Drosophila melanogaster: one gene and its partner. The gene in region 2 interacts genetically with the main gene of each other region. Each region holds a gene or a part of one and is shown on either strand. Other genes may lie near its edges.

What was found.
Region 1: of Scm (region 2) and Marcal1, changing one suppresses a phenotype caused by changing the other (phenotypic suppression), as found in Drosophila melanogaster (one study listed by BioGRID).

Annotation. Positions count from the first base shown.
Region 1 is NT_033779.5:4,953,464-4,958,975, reverse strand, and holds Marcal1 (Marcal1), read right to left. Parts: upstream 3,468-5,512; 5' UTR 3,394-3,467; coding exon 2,627-3,393; intron 2,569-2,626; coding exon 2,078-2,568; intron 2,019-2,077; coding exon 1,868-2,018; intron 1,799-1,867; coding exon 1,634-1,798; intron 1,569-1,633; coding exon 1,286-1,568; intron 1,225-1,285; coding exon 1,030-1,224; intron 969-1,029; coding exon 753-968; 3' UTR 684-752; downstream 1-683. Other genes in the region: CG34124 (uncharacterized protein), read right to left, coding at 1-125, 184-346, 404-498; Jon25Bi (jonah 25Bi), read left to right, coding at 3,853-4,653. UniProt on the Drosophila melanogaster protein: ATP-dependent annealing helicase that catalyzes the rewinding of the stably unwound DNA.
Region 2 is NT_033777.3:9,632,821-9,639,869, forward strand, and holds Scm (Sex comb on midleg), read right to left. Parts: upstream 4,792-7,049; 5' UTR 4,336-4,791; coding exon 3,790-4,335; intron 3,732-3,789; coding exon 2,814-3,731; intron 2,749-2,813; coding exon 1,717-2,748; intron 1,656-1,716; coding exon 1,518-1,655; 3' UTR 539-1,517; downstream 1-538. Other genes in the region: SpdS (spermidine synthase), read left to right, coding at 1-286. UniProt on the Drosophila melanogaster protein: Polycomb group (PcG) protein. PcG proteins act by forming multiprotein complexes, which are required to maintain the transcriptionally repressive state of homeotic genes throughout development.

The DNA of each region.
Region 1 (5,512 bases), on a different chromosome or scaffold from region 2:
TTCTGAGCTGCATTCAGTAGCTTAACACGGACATTAAGCGATGGATACTCGTAGATAAAGACAGTGGGACGAGCTCCGTTCTCGCCCACCGTAAAGAGGTTGGTGTAGTCAGGATGCTCGTTTTTCTGGCAATGGAGTACCATTAGATCATACAAAGGTACTCAAAGGTACTAAAAAGCTCACCGTTATAAAGCCCACTCCGCAGCCGTAGACCGTTTCCTGAAAGGAAATCTCCTGGCGCGAAATGCTAAAGTAGTTGAGGAAGTTTCCAGAGGCAAAAACCAGCGTGTCTGAATCCACAAGGACCAAATTAAACAGCTTCTTACAATCGTAACCAAAGGAGTGTCTGCAGCAGAAGTTTTCCAATCAAGAAAAAGTTATCAACTTCCAATTCCGTACTCACTCTACACTGACGATATCACGCGGAAAGGATACGTCGTTCTCATTCTCCAACTCCTCCTCTTCGCCCAGCAGATCAGATTCCTGCGTAGTATCCATATTATTTAGCTATTATTGTACAAAACTTAACTTGCTGTGTATTTATTTATTTGATACAAGTGAAAAGGTTTACTTGAGTGTTTGTTTGCCTGTTGCCAGGTCACATGAAACCGGCTATCTGAAAAGAGTTCTGCAAACGTGGAGCATGCGCAGAAGTGCGTTCAACAAGTTTCATTCAATGCTATAACATTCTCAAATACAATTTATTACGATTAACTCAATAAACATTCTAGGATTAAATTCCATTACACAATCTAAATATCTAATTCCAAAAAAGCCTCATCATCATCATCGTTAAAGAACGCCGCGATATCCGACTCAGCCTTGTTTACTTTGGTCATTTCTGTATTATTATTTTGCTCAGGCGGCTCTTTAGCTGGAATAGTTGAAAAATATTGTTTTATGCTATTCCTTTCCGGTTCAAGGGAGGTGGACGTGGAGGGCGAGAAGTACTCCTCGATCTTGTGGGACTAAAAAAAAAGTTGAGTTAGCGAAAAATACATTTTTCAAAGTATTCAAAATGTATCTTACTGAAGTGGGTGCTGCTGTGTGTGTTGCTTTCTGAAGATTTTCGGCAAAGATGCCCACTTTACTAAGCACCTCTTGCTTATTTTTCAGCATGTTCCAGATTATATCGTCTGCCGTATTGTGAGCAATCAGATAGCGACAAATCACCGGTTTTGTCTGACCAATGCGATGGGCACGGCTCTCCGCCTGGGCAAGAGTCTGCACATAAAATAAAACTAAATTTAAGCGTTCTCCAAGTTAACATATAAGCGAAGCTTACGCTAGGATTCCAGTCCAGTTCAGCGAACACTATGATCTCAGCTGCAGTTAGCGTTATTCCTGAATTGCAGGCTTTTAGGGAGAGCAGGGCCACCTTACAACTGCTCTTCTTTTGGAACGTGTCCACAGAATCCGACCTGTGATCGCTACGCGTTTGTCCATCAATACGTATGTAGTGTACTTTCAATCCACTGAGGAAGTCGCTAATGGCGTCCATCATGACACGATGGTGGGCAAAGATAATGAACTTTTTCTGCTCCTTAACTAAGGTTTTTAGGTAGGCGCTATAATGCAGGATAATACATTAACTTCAGATGGTTTATATGGTTTTAATGATTTTTTTTATTACCAGACCGCTCGAGTTTTCACTTCGGCAGTGCGTGCATAGAAACGGAGTAAGATCTCTTCCGTTGCCCTGCCTTTAGCGGTTTTAAGCTCTTTGTTAAACGCATCCAAGGTTTCCTTGGTCTCCGCATTGGTCCACACTAGGGCGGGATCCAGGACGACAGTCTCACTGCGGATGGAAGAATGTTCGAAATGTTAGAAAATATATTATAGATATACAACAATGTGAACAACCCACCGGTTCTTCTCAGCGAGTTGAGGCAGCACCTCCACTTTCGTTCGCCTCAGCATATATTTAAGGTGAAGTATGACCTTCAGTTCCTCCAAATTCGATTGACCATTGGCATCCCAACCAAAAGTTGACTGCTTTCCATCACAATAACGAGTAGCTGTGAATGTGTTAATCGATATAAGCGCGTTCTAAGGTAAACAGACATTCTTGACATACTGAACTCCATGAAATTCATGAATTTGCCATCAATCATTTGCAGTTGCGTAAAAAGTTCCAATGGCCGGGAGAGAGCCGGTGTGCCGGATAGCAAAACCACCCGCTTCGCCTGATCCGTGAGTCTTTTGGCCGTTGTCGTGCACTTGGCCTTGCTGTTCTTCAGCGTGTGCGACTCGTCGAAGATGATGAAACCAAACTTCCGCTGCATCAGCTTATCTTCGTGTCGCTCCATCATATTGTAGCTGGTGATTAGCACCTTGGCCTCACCCACATATAGCTGATTGTTGTTCAGCACCTGGACATAGTGGATGGGCACCTTCGGCAGTAGATCCATTATGTGTTTCGCCCAACTGTCTCTCGTAGAAGCGGTGGTGCAGACAAGCAAGGGCCAATCATCCTTGAAATAGTCGGCTACGGCCAAGGCCTGATAGGTTTTGCCCAGGCCCATTTCATCACAGATCATAATGCGTCCCTTTTGGGCTATGGCAAAGCTAAACATATGATAAATTTAGCGCTTTTGGAAGTACATAGCATACAAGCAATGCTTACCATACCCCATCCTGTTGGAAGGGCATTAGCTGGTCCGCCAGCTTCGGTTCTATGGAAGCTAAAACACTTCTTTCCGGAACTACTGGCGGCTGGCCGCAGAGATCCAGCACCTTCTTCGGAATGCCATTCATGTGAACATATGGCTTTAGATCCGCTGCATGAGTTTTCAGGGATTGGTAGTCCGACAGATCGAAACTCCAGATACGGGTTTGGCCATCGTAGCACTTGGTGGGCATGTTCTTGAACACGGTCACGAGCTGTTCGTGATATCCTGAGGTTTGGGCAGCAAACCGATGTGTGCTGATCAAGTAGAGATTACACGTGATGGAGTTTCCGAGTAGCACAGCCACCGGTTTCTCCTTATCCGAACTCAGTGAAAGAGTGGGCTTGTTTCTTTCGTTCCCTCCATTTGGCCGCTGGTAAGGATGTGCTGCTCCGCGGGACAATTCCCGGTTGGATGTCTGTTTGATTGCTTTCAGAGCGTTCAGAAAGGATGAGCTCTTGTTGTCACCGGGCGTGGGACCGCTCCTGTTGATCTTCTTCTGCTCCCCCGTCGGTGATCGGTAGAAATTCAATGGGGATTTGGCCTGCGGTTGATTGGGATTTGATTTTCCATTATTCGCATGTTGCGTCGCACCTGTTGCAGACGTTGTTGATTTTCCATTGGTTGCGGGTGCGCTGGCCAGCAGCTGGGATTTCTTGGCCTGCAATTTGGCCAGCGCAATGCGCTTCTTCTCCGCTATCTCGGATGAACTGCAAGTGGACATGCTGCGACATCAATTGATAAAATTTGGCGGAATATATAAACAATAAATGCATGGCTCTGTGTGACCAGGTGAGCCATTTTTCAATCCTTACATCTTACATTGGGCGCCTATTTTAAATTATTTTTACATTTTACATACTCTATGTATACATTATTATGTATATATTATGTATAAATTATTTAGTCCTTAAATTAAATTAAAATCATTTCTGTTTTCTTATATTGCCTACGTCGGTTGTAAGCGAAGATAATCAGCTTAGAATTTTTCCTAAAAGCGAGTTATTATTTTTTTTGCCTATCAAGATGTTCTTAGACGTGCTATCAATTAATTTCCATTGGTATCAGAGGGCGAATTTCTTAGAGATAGGATAACGCCGAGTGGGGGCTACTCCAGACAGCGATAAGGGGCGCAATAAAAACGGATGGAAGTCTGGCGCAGACCACGATTGATCCAATCACCATGAAAGTGTTCGTTGTACTGGCTCTGGCTTTGGCCGCTGTCTCCGCCGAGACTGTCCAGCAGGTTCATCCCAAGGACCTGCCCAAGGACACCAAGATCAATGGCCGCATTGTGAACGGATATCCAGCCTACGAGGGCAAGGCTCCCTACACCGTGGGTCTGGGCTTCAGCGGCAACGGCGGCTGGTGGTGCGGTGGTTCTATCATCGCCCACGATTGGGTCCTGACTGCTGCTCACTGCACCAACGGCGCCTCCCAGGTGACCATCTACTACGGAGCCACCTGGCGCACCAACGCCCAGTTCACCCACACCGTCGGCAGCGGCGACTTCATCCAGAACCACAACTGGCCCAACCAGAACGGCAACGACATCGCCTTGATCCGCACCCCCCACGTGGACTTCTGGCACATGGTTAACAAGGTGGAGCTGCCCAGCTTCAACGATCGCTACAACATGTACGACAACTATTGGGCCGTCGCCTGCGGTTGGGGACTGACCACCGCCGGATCCCAGCCCGATTGGATGGAGTGCGTCGACCTGCAGATCATTAGCAACTCGGAATGCTCCCGCACCTACGGCACCCAGCCCGATGGCATCCTCTGTGTGTCCACCTCCGGCGGAAAGTCCACCTGCTCCGGTGACTCCGGTGGCCCCCTGGTTCTCCACGACGGTGGCCGCCTGGTGGGTGTCACCTCCTGGGTTTCCGGCAACGGTTGCACCGCTGGCCTGCCCTCCGGATTCACCCGTGTTACCAACCAGCTGGACTGGATCCGCGACAACTCCGGCGTTGCTTACTACTAAGCTTGATTATCTTTATTTTTAAATAAACGAAATGCATAACAATTAATTTGACGCCTTTATGTTTCTGGTTTTATTACATTTAAAAAATCACATGGATATTTTTAAGTTTCAAAAGTCTAGTCATGCAGAATCCGAATCTATAATAAACGTCTTATAGATAAGAAGCCATGAATGGCTAAGAAATGGGATGGTTTCTTGGCAATCGAACACTTGTTATCTGGAAAACATGATTAAACACTATATATGTAGCCATGATAGACATAAGTAGGAATACTAGCAACTGTGGTCTATACTAGTCAATAATCAGATAATGAAATAATATATATATTTACCAAAAGATTATATATTCCAAAGGATTATTATACTGACAAATCACAAAAGCGAAGTGATATATTTATTAAATATATGAAATATATTTCTAAAAAATAATACAACTTTCGTCTTTAAAATATTTCACTTTTTACTTGTAAATGTTTAGTTTATTGTTTTAAATTTTAATTTTAATAACTTTAATGGGAGTGCGTTTAATATTAAAACCTAAACAATGTAGCGCACTTACGAACGTTAAGTACAGTATAATTCGCTTAGCTGCCTCGAGTACTTTGCACAATGCCTCGATGCAGGTAACTTAAAAATGCAGCTAACTTAATTTTTTTTTTTCTATTTTCTATTTTCTATTCACACAAAAAAATGGAAAAATAATGCAGATATCTTGCCGATGCAGCTAACTATCGATGCAGCTAAGCGAATTATACTGTAATACTACTTTTGAATGACCACAGGACGTGTGCCCTAATCTCTGTGCGCTCCTGTTCGAGTGTTCCATTGAGTTGTGGCTCTGGGCATGAATGGGGGCTTA
Region 2 (7,049 bases):
CTCCCAGGGCGGTAGCTTCTGGCTGGACCTGGACTACATCAAGAAGACCATGTCCGGCTGCAAGGAGCACTTTGCTAAGGTGGCCTATGCCGTCACCTCCGTTCCGTCCTATCCCTGCGGCCACATTGGCTTCGTCATGGGCTCCCTGAACAAAAACCAGGACTTCGCTACTCCCAAGCTTGGAAAGTCCGAAATCGATTCTATAGACCTAAGGTACTACTCCTCCGAGGTTCACTCCGCCGCCTTTGCCTTGCCTCGATGGGTGCAGAAGCACTTTTACGAATGACCAGGTTGCGGAAAGATTCGTGTGTATCTGTTTGTTAAAAATAAATATGATAATAATATGACTTGTTTATCATCGCTTCTTAAATTCTTGGATATTTTCAACAAATGCTGACTCTTGCAATGATTCATTTTTAGTCGAATTTTTGTAGCCTGAGTATTTTCCTTCCAATCCGACTACCATCTTTCAGTTATTTTACTGTTGAAAATAGAACAAATTGTAATGTTTATTACGTAATGATATATACAGTTGGCTCTATTTAATTTTTGTATTTGTAAGTGGATGCTGGGTTAACATAATGAGACTTATTGCAATATTTTACACGACCGAATGTTACTCTCATTTATATATCGCATATATTGCAAAACTTTGAAAGGAAGCGTTTCTTATATGCAAAAATGACCTTAACTGCATGTGAATAATTAACTAAAAACTGATATTCAATTTCAATAACTTAATAGAAATTAAATCTTCAACCTGTTTAATGACTAATTAAATATTGTTATAGTTAGGAAACGCAATTGATACATAATTACAAAATTAGATGTAAAATATGTACAATCATTTAATATTGGTTTTTATTTTCTCGCCTATTCTAAAGTTAATTATCATTTCTTTTGTGTCGGATAGATTTTGGTGTCTAATGTGCGTGTTTTTATGTGTAATAAATATAATGTATGTGCATTGCGATTTTGGTAGCCGAGCTCCAGTTTTCGAAAAAGTCGAATCATTTTGTGTCCAATTGAGAACTATTTCACATTTTTCGAAATAGATGGATAAACTAATTATTGTGTGTGTACGAATACTCCACTCCTTTGACTGGGTAAATTTGAATAAACCTATAAAAATTCCTAATTCAAGTATAATAATTTTGTCTAAATAAATCAATTTGTAAATGTGTATTCCAAAAAAAGAATCACGAGCAGTTGGAAAAAAATTAATAATAATGGTTTTGAAAACCGGAGCTTGACTGTGTATAATTTGTTATGCGATTGATTTTGTATAGGGAATTTCATGTCTTCGCGATTACATTTGTTATAGCGTGTTTTATATTATCAATATAATAAAATAGGGTAGGGGTTTTTTCTTCATGAATGGCCAACACATAACACATCTATGAATATCGTTCATGTTTGCTTTGCTTTACGTTAAAGGGAGGTACTAATTTGTTAACAATTTCTATATAAGTCAAACCCGAACCGAGTCCGCTGCCTGAAACTTAATGTTTTTCTGTTTAGAGTGCCAGATTATTTCGACGACCATTGACCTTATTGACTAAATTGCAGATTTTTAAGGCTGGTCCTAGCTTCAGGCCCATGTACTTCATCATCATCTCTGAATTTAGCAATAATAAAGCTTTACCATCGATTTCCTACAGACGAAAATTAGATAAGTTACTTTATTTAAGGTAATTGGTAATAGCTACTACTTACGTGCTTTCGGAAGAGATCACCATGAACTGCAAGGGAGTTGTCGTTGCTCTCGATGTACTGGATCACCTCTTCGATGGTCCAGTCGATCGGCTGCGACCGCAGATGTGAGTTTGCCAAAGCAGAAGTGGGCGTGCTCACGGGTGAGGTAATCGCGGTGTAGCTCGGAGAAGCTCCCGCAGTTGCCGCTGCTCCAGCCGGCGCGGTGGCCGCCTTAGCCGCTGTAACTCCACCTGCAGCCAGTGCAGTGGACGAGGCTGACTGGCAGCCCGTGAACGGCGTGGACACGGATGTCGGCAACGAGGCGCTTGACGAGAGCGTCGTCGGACTCTTGTAGTAGCTATTCGAGGGCTTTACATTGGCCTGCTCTGGATGAACTTCTGCCACAAGAGGTGCCAGGTATTTGCCAATTGTGCTGGTGTTCGCCGATCCTCCGGCTAGGCTCGTGCTGGACGACGTTGACGAGCTGCTGCAATGGCTGGTAGATACGTGCGTGGTCTGGCTCGTATCCTGGTTTCCGTTTGTCGCAGAGCTATTCGTATTCGTGTTTGCGTGGTGTTGGAAGCGTACTTTGCGCAGAGCCTGCGTTGTGGAGGAAGTCTGCGCGTTCGCTCCGTTGGGCTCCGATTTGATGACCACCTTGTTGCTGGACTTGCTGGCACTGTTGTTGTTATTGTTGAGACTGTGATTGCTGTTTTGCTGGCTTGCAGGCTCCTTGCCATTGTTCGTCGAAGTTTTCGACTTGGACTCCACTGGCGATTTGACAGCCAATTCCTGCTTGATAATCTTCTCAGAGGGTGATGTCGTTGCCGAGTTGGATTGACGGTTTCGCTTGTCGGCGAGCACTGGCGAGGAAGGCGGTGTGGCTGACTGAGTCAGTTGACGCTTCCGACTATTGGCGCACTTCTTGCACTCCTCCGTCTCGTGGACCAAGGAAATGAGATTCGCACATGCCCGGCATGTAGTGCACAGCGTTTCGATGAATTGGGCGAGGCTTTCGTCATCCTTCATTCGCATTGGCGATGGTATTTTTACCTTTAAGAAACGAAGAGTATATTTTAAACATGCTTTTCATTGAATTTAATTGATCTTGAACTCACTGTGAAATTTTTCCCCGCTGCCGTCACGATATGAACATCTCCTTCCAGGGCAAACAGCAACTTTGAGAGCTGTTGCGTATCCGTGCTGGCAGCTAAAACCTCCTGCAGGCAAAGCTTGGCCAGCGTTTGGTAGGTGGGTCCCGTCACCATGCAGGGCAGTTTGGAATTGTTGATGAACGGACCGCCCTTGCAGTTCGGATGGAAGTGGGCTGTGGCAGGGGAAGCGGGAACCATAGCCTCGGACTCAGCTACAACAGTGTAGCGGGGTCGAGGGCATCGCTGTTTGCTAGAGCTGGAGTCCATGCGCGATTTATGGCCCGGTGGCTGCATGGGATGACAACTTCTAGCGCACCAGCCGGCGGGAAAAATGTCACGCGATCGGTAATTGCACCAGTAGTCGAATGCCCCTCGCCAACCATCGAATGTTACATGGATCTGATCATCCTTGATTGCATCTACTGTTGCACAGCAGATGAGCTGCGGGTTCTTCTTGTCGACAGCCTCGAGTTTCTGGCCCACCTTGAACAGGTTTTCTTCTGGCTCTGGCGGCTCTGGCTGGAAGATCTCTTCTGGCGCCACCATGGCATTGTTGAGGATCTTGCACAGATAGCCGGGCCAGCTGGATGCGTTCATGCGGAATCCCAGAGGCGGCTGCAGCATGCCACCGTTCTTTTCACAGTGTCCAATAGCATGGATCTCCGTAGAATCGACCAGCCGCCAAAAGTCATTCTGGGAGTCACTTCCATCCAGGCGTAGCCGCAGTCTGGAGCCAAGCACTCCGACCACGGTGGCAATGCAGGTGGAAGTGACGTTGCGCGGATCCAAAGCCTCCAGCTTCATTCCGATTTTAAAATCATTGTTGGGAGGATTCTGAGCCTGTTTGAAACATTTTGCAGGAGCAGCTTCGCTACCCGTTTCCTGGAAACCACAAAAAGTATGAGATTGGGGGTTAAAGCATTATCCCAGCTTGACTTACCTCTAGATAGGCATCCCAGTCGAAGACGTGGAAGCTCTCGTATTGAAAGGGCCCCGTTGGTGCGGGCGCTCCACTGGCCAGCAACTTGCGCTCGCTTTCCGCCAGACCCTTGCCCGATGCCGATCCGCCGCTGTGCCTGGTCGAGCAGTTCTTCTTCTGGTGCTTGTTCATGCACATGATCGAGCAGAACTCCTTGTTGGGCGCCCCATCGCGGATGACGTTGTCGCACTGGGTGCACGCCCCCTTGCTGTACGCCTTGCGGAACTCGGCAATGCATGTTTCCGAGCAGAACTCCTTCTTGCCGGTCTGCGTGGGCAGGACGTACTGCAGCGGTAGCTTGCCCTCGCCGCACCAGGTGCATGTGGCTCGTTTGGCCGGTCTACCTCGTTGCCGTTGCGTGGACGCGGGCGATGTTGTACTTCCAGGGGATGCGGATGTGGATGTGGAGGAGGCGGATGCGGATGCGGAGGAGGTGGCATTCGTACTGGCCCCTGGCGCAGCAGAATTGCTCCCGCTACTGGTACTGCTATCACGTCCGCCCGACATGGTTTCTCGCGTGGCTGTCCTAGTAGTCGCACTTGCTGATTCGCGCCGGCAAGCCCCTTGGCATCTCAGGCGATTTCGATTTCGTGTGTTCCGATCCGGCGGTCAAATCGCATTGCGGCTGCCTTGAATCATTAGCCACCAATAGCAAGTTTTGTTTTGCAGCACTAACTTTCCGATTTCTTTCGATTTGGCCTGGCGAAATTTTGCGGCGTTCTTGAGGTCACGTAATAACAAATTGGTGGCCAAATCGCATCGCATCACCCAACGAAAACAAACGCGAGCCGCACAATTAGTTTCTGGTTCACCAAATATCGAGCTTTATATTTAGAGCGCTGCGCGGATCTTGTTACTCGGTTTCAATCCGAAATTAGATGATTTTGAGTCGCTTAAACTCCAAAATGTTAGACTTTTTTTACTTTTACGCTCGGTTCCGCCATATTTGTTTTTCTAGTGGTGACATTCAGATCTTTGCGCATATCGATAGTTGCTTACCTGTGACAGCTCACGAAGCGATGAAAATAATCAACTAATGTGACTAATCGAAAAATGTTATCGAAGCAACTAAATGCAATTTTAAAATAACGTTAAATGGGAAATCACATAACTGACAATAAATAGTCAATTTAAAGAGCAAAGTAGATAATGCTCAATACTTTTACCACAATGTTGTATTTAATTTAACTGCTAATATAAATAAATATTTGTCATTTTTAAAAACGTAAGCCCTTATTATAGAAAAGAAATTTGGATTTCCTGTCAAAAATTGTACAGCGTAATGTAAAAACTATTTAGTCTAGTAAACTGAACCGTTTTGGTTTTGAGAATATAAACTTATAACCGAATTCCTACGTTTTAATATCAGCTCATAGTATTTCCCAGTAAAACTAACAAAACGCTCGTGAATCAAATTTGCACAGCATCAAGTGGGCGTAAATTGGTGAATAATATAAAAAGTCTGTAAATTTGAAAGCGCACGGCACACATCAGCCGAAAATCAAAAAAAAAAAAATGGGTTAGTCAACAAAACTAATATCTACCAATTTATAGAACGCTCTGGTATGTAAACATTTCCATTGAACTGGGAGAAATTCGCAATAAAGCGGTTCAGATAGTGGAAAATGGGTTGAACAAGGGAAAGTTTTGATATTTTAATAAAATCATGTATAACATAGGAAAGCGGTTTTCGTAATTACCAAAACCATGAAACAATCAATACTGAAATACAAAAATATGTTACTATCAAAATAATGGCTTATACGATTGGCCTAAGGCTTTATTAGGTCAAGCAAATTAATATTACTTGCTTACCTTTCGTTAATTTTATTTGCTGAAGAGCGTCGCAAATGTCAAGAAGTCTAGCAAATTACTAGAAATTACATAAGTGTGTTTCGTTTGCAGTAAATTCAGTAAGTCGAAAGCGGCTCAAAGATGAAACAAGTTGGAAAAACTTTTCTGGGATTAGCCGAAATGTATATTGGTCAAACTTTTTGGCTAACTTCTGCTGCTGTTTGATTTTTGTTCGCTTTGCCTAAATGGTCCGTAACTTGATTTAATTGATGTGCTTCAAAGAATAATCCGCTCACTTAGTCGCGTTTCAAAGATAACCAACTGGAAGCCAAATATTGCGGTCGAAAAACTTGATAACACTGTTAATTGAATGTTTTGAAGGCGGCGTGATGTCCCTCTTTAATAATCAATAAAGACATTCCTAATTATTAATGATTAAACTTGACCGAAACCAAGTTCCCTGACACTCACACAATCGTCAAATCGCGCATAATTGGATGGGACCATCGGCTGCCCATAACAAGGATAATTGGATGAAATGAGGCGGCTGCCTTTTCTGCTCCTCATTAAATGCCCGTTTACCGTTTAGTCGCCTGTCAAATCCTTGATGGGCTATTAGAAAAAGGGGTGTCCAGAGACGAGTTCTTGAGTCATTGACTTGTTACGCAAATTGGACAAAAGAAATTTCTGGCTCCGAGTGGGCACTGGAGTGGGGATTGAACTTAATAAGCATATTCATTAATGGGTGTACAGAACCAAGTACAAGGTTGCATCTTACACCCTTATGGATATCCTTTCCTTCTTGAATCCCTAAGCAAAAGTAATCAGGCAAGTAGCTAGACTTTACTAGTTGCTCTATTAAAAATTAAAAGTAAATTAAAATTGCCTCGCACTACCAAAACAGCATTACAGCTCGCATAAAAGCACGTATAAATTGGCGGGAGTGGCATTTTGACGGAATTCAATCAGCCATAAAGCATCCTGCTGGGCAGGAAATGGAGGCGTTTGCCTACGTGCTTAATTACAAGCCGACGCATGCACATTCTGCATACATAAAAGGCGAAGACACGTGTTCCAAGCAATTAAAAAGTATGTCAAAGTGGGTGATCAACGCGCCCAAGGACGCAGGACAATTGCGAATGCTGGCAACACTGTTGCTTTTTTTGAGTGATGCGTGGGCTAGCCAAACTAGTTGATGTAGATGGCATGAAAAGTTTGGGGGGTCCCAAATTATAAATTGCTTATCTGGCTGTGTGTACAATGTGGATAGCAATGTGATATAAATGGTAATTGAATTCGTTTTCAAGGTAATCAGCAGTAATGATTGCTGCTTTTCTTAGCCTAAATAGAAAGGATATCGGCCTCTGTTAGCCTTCGCATATCCCAATAAAAATTGATTGGTCCAAAATAAGACGAAACACCCAGCA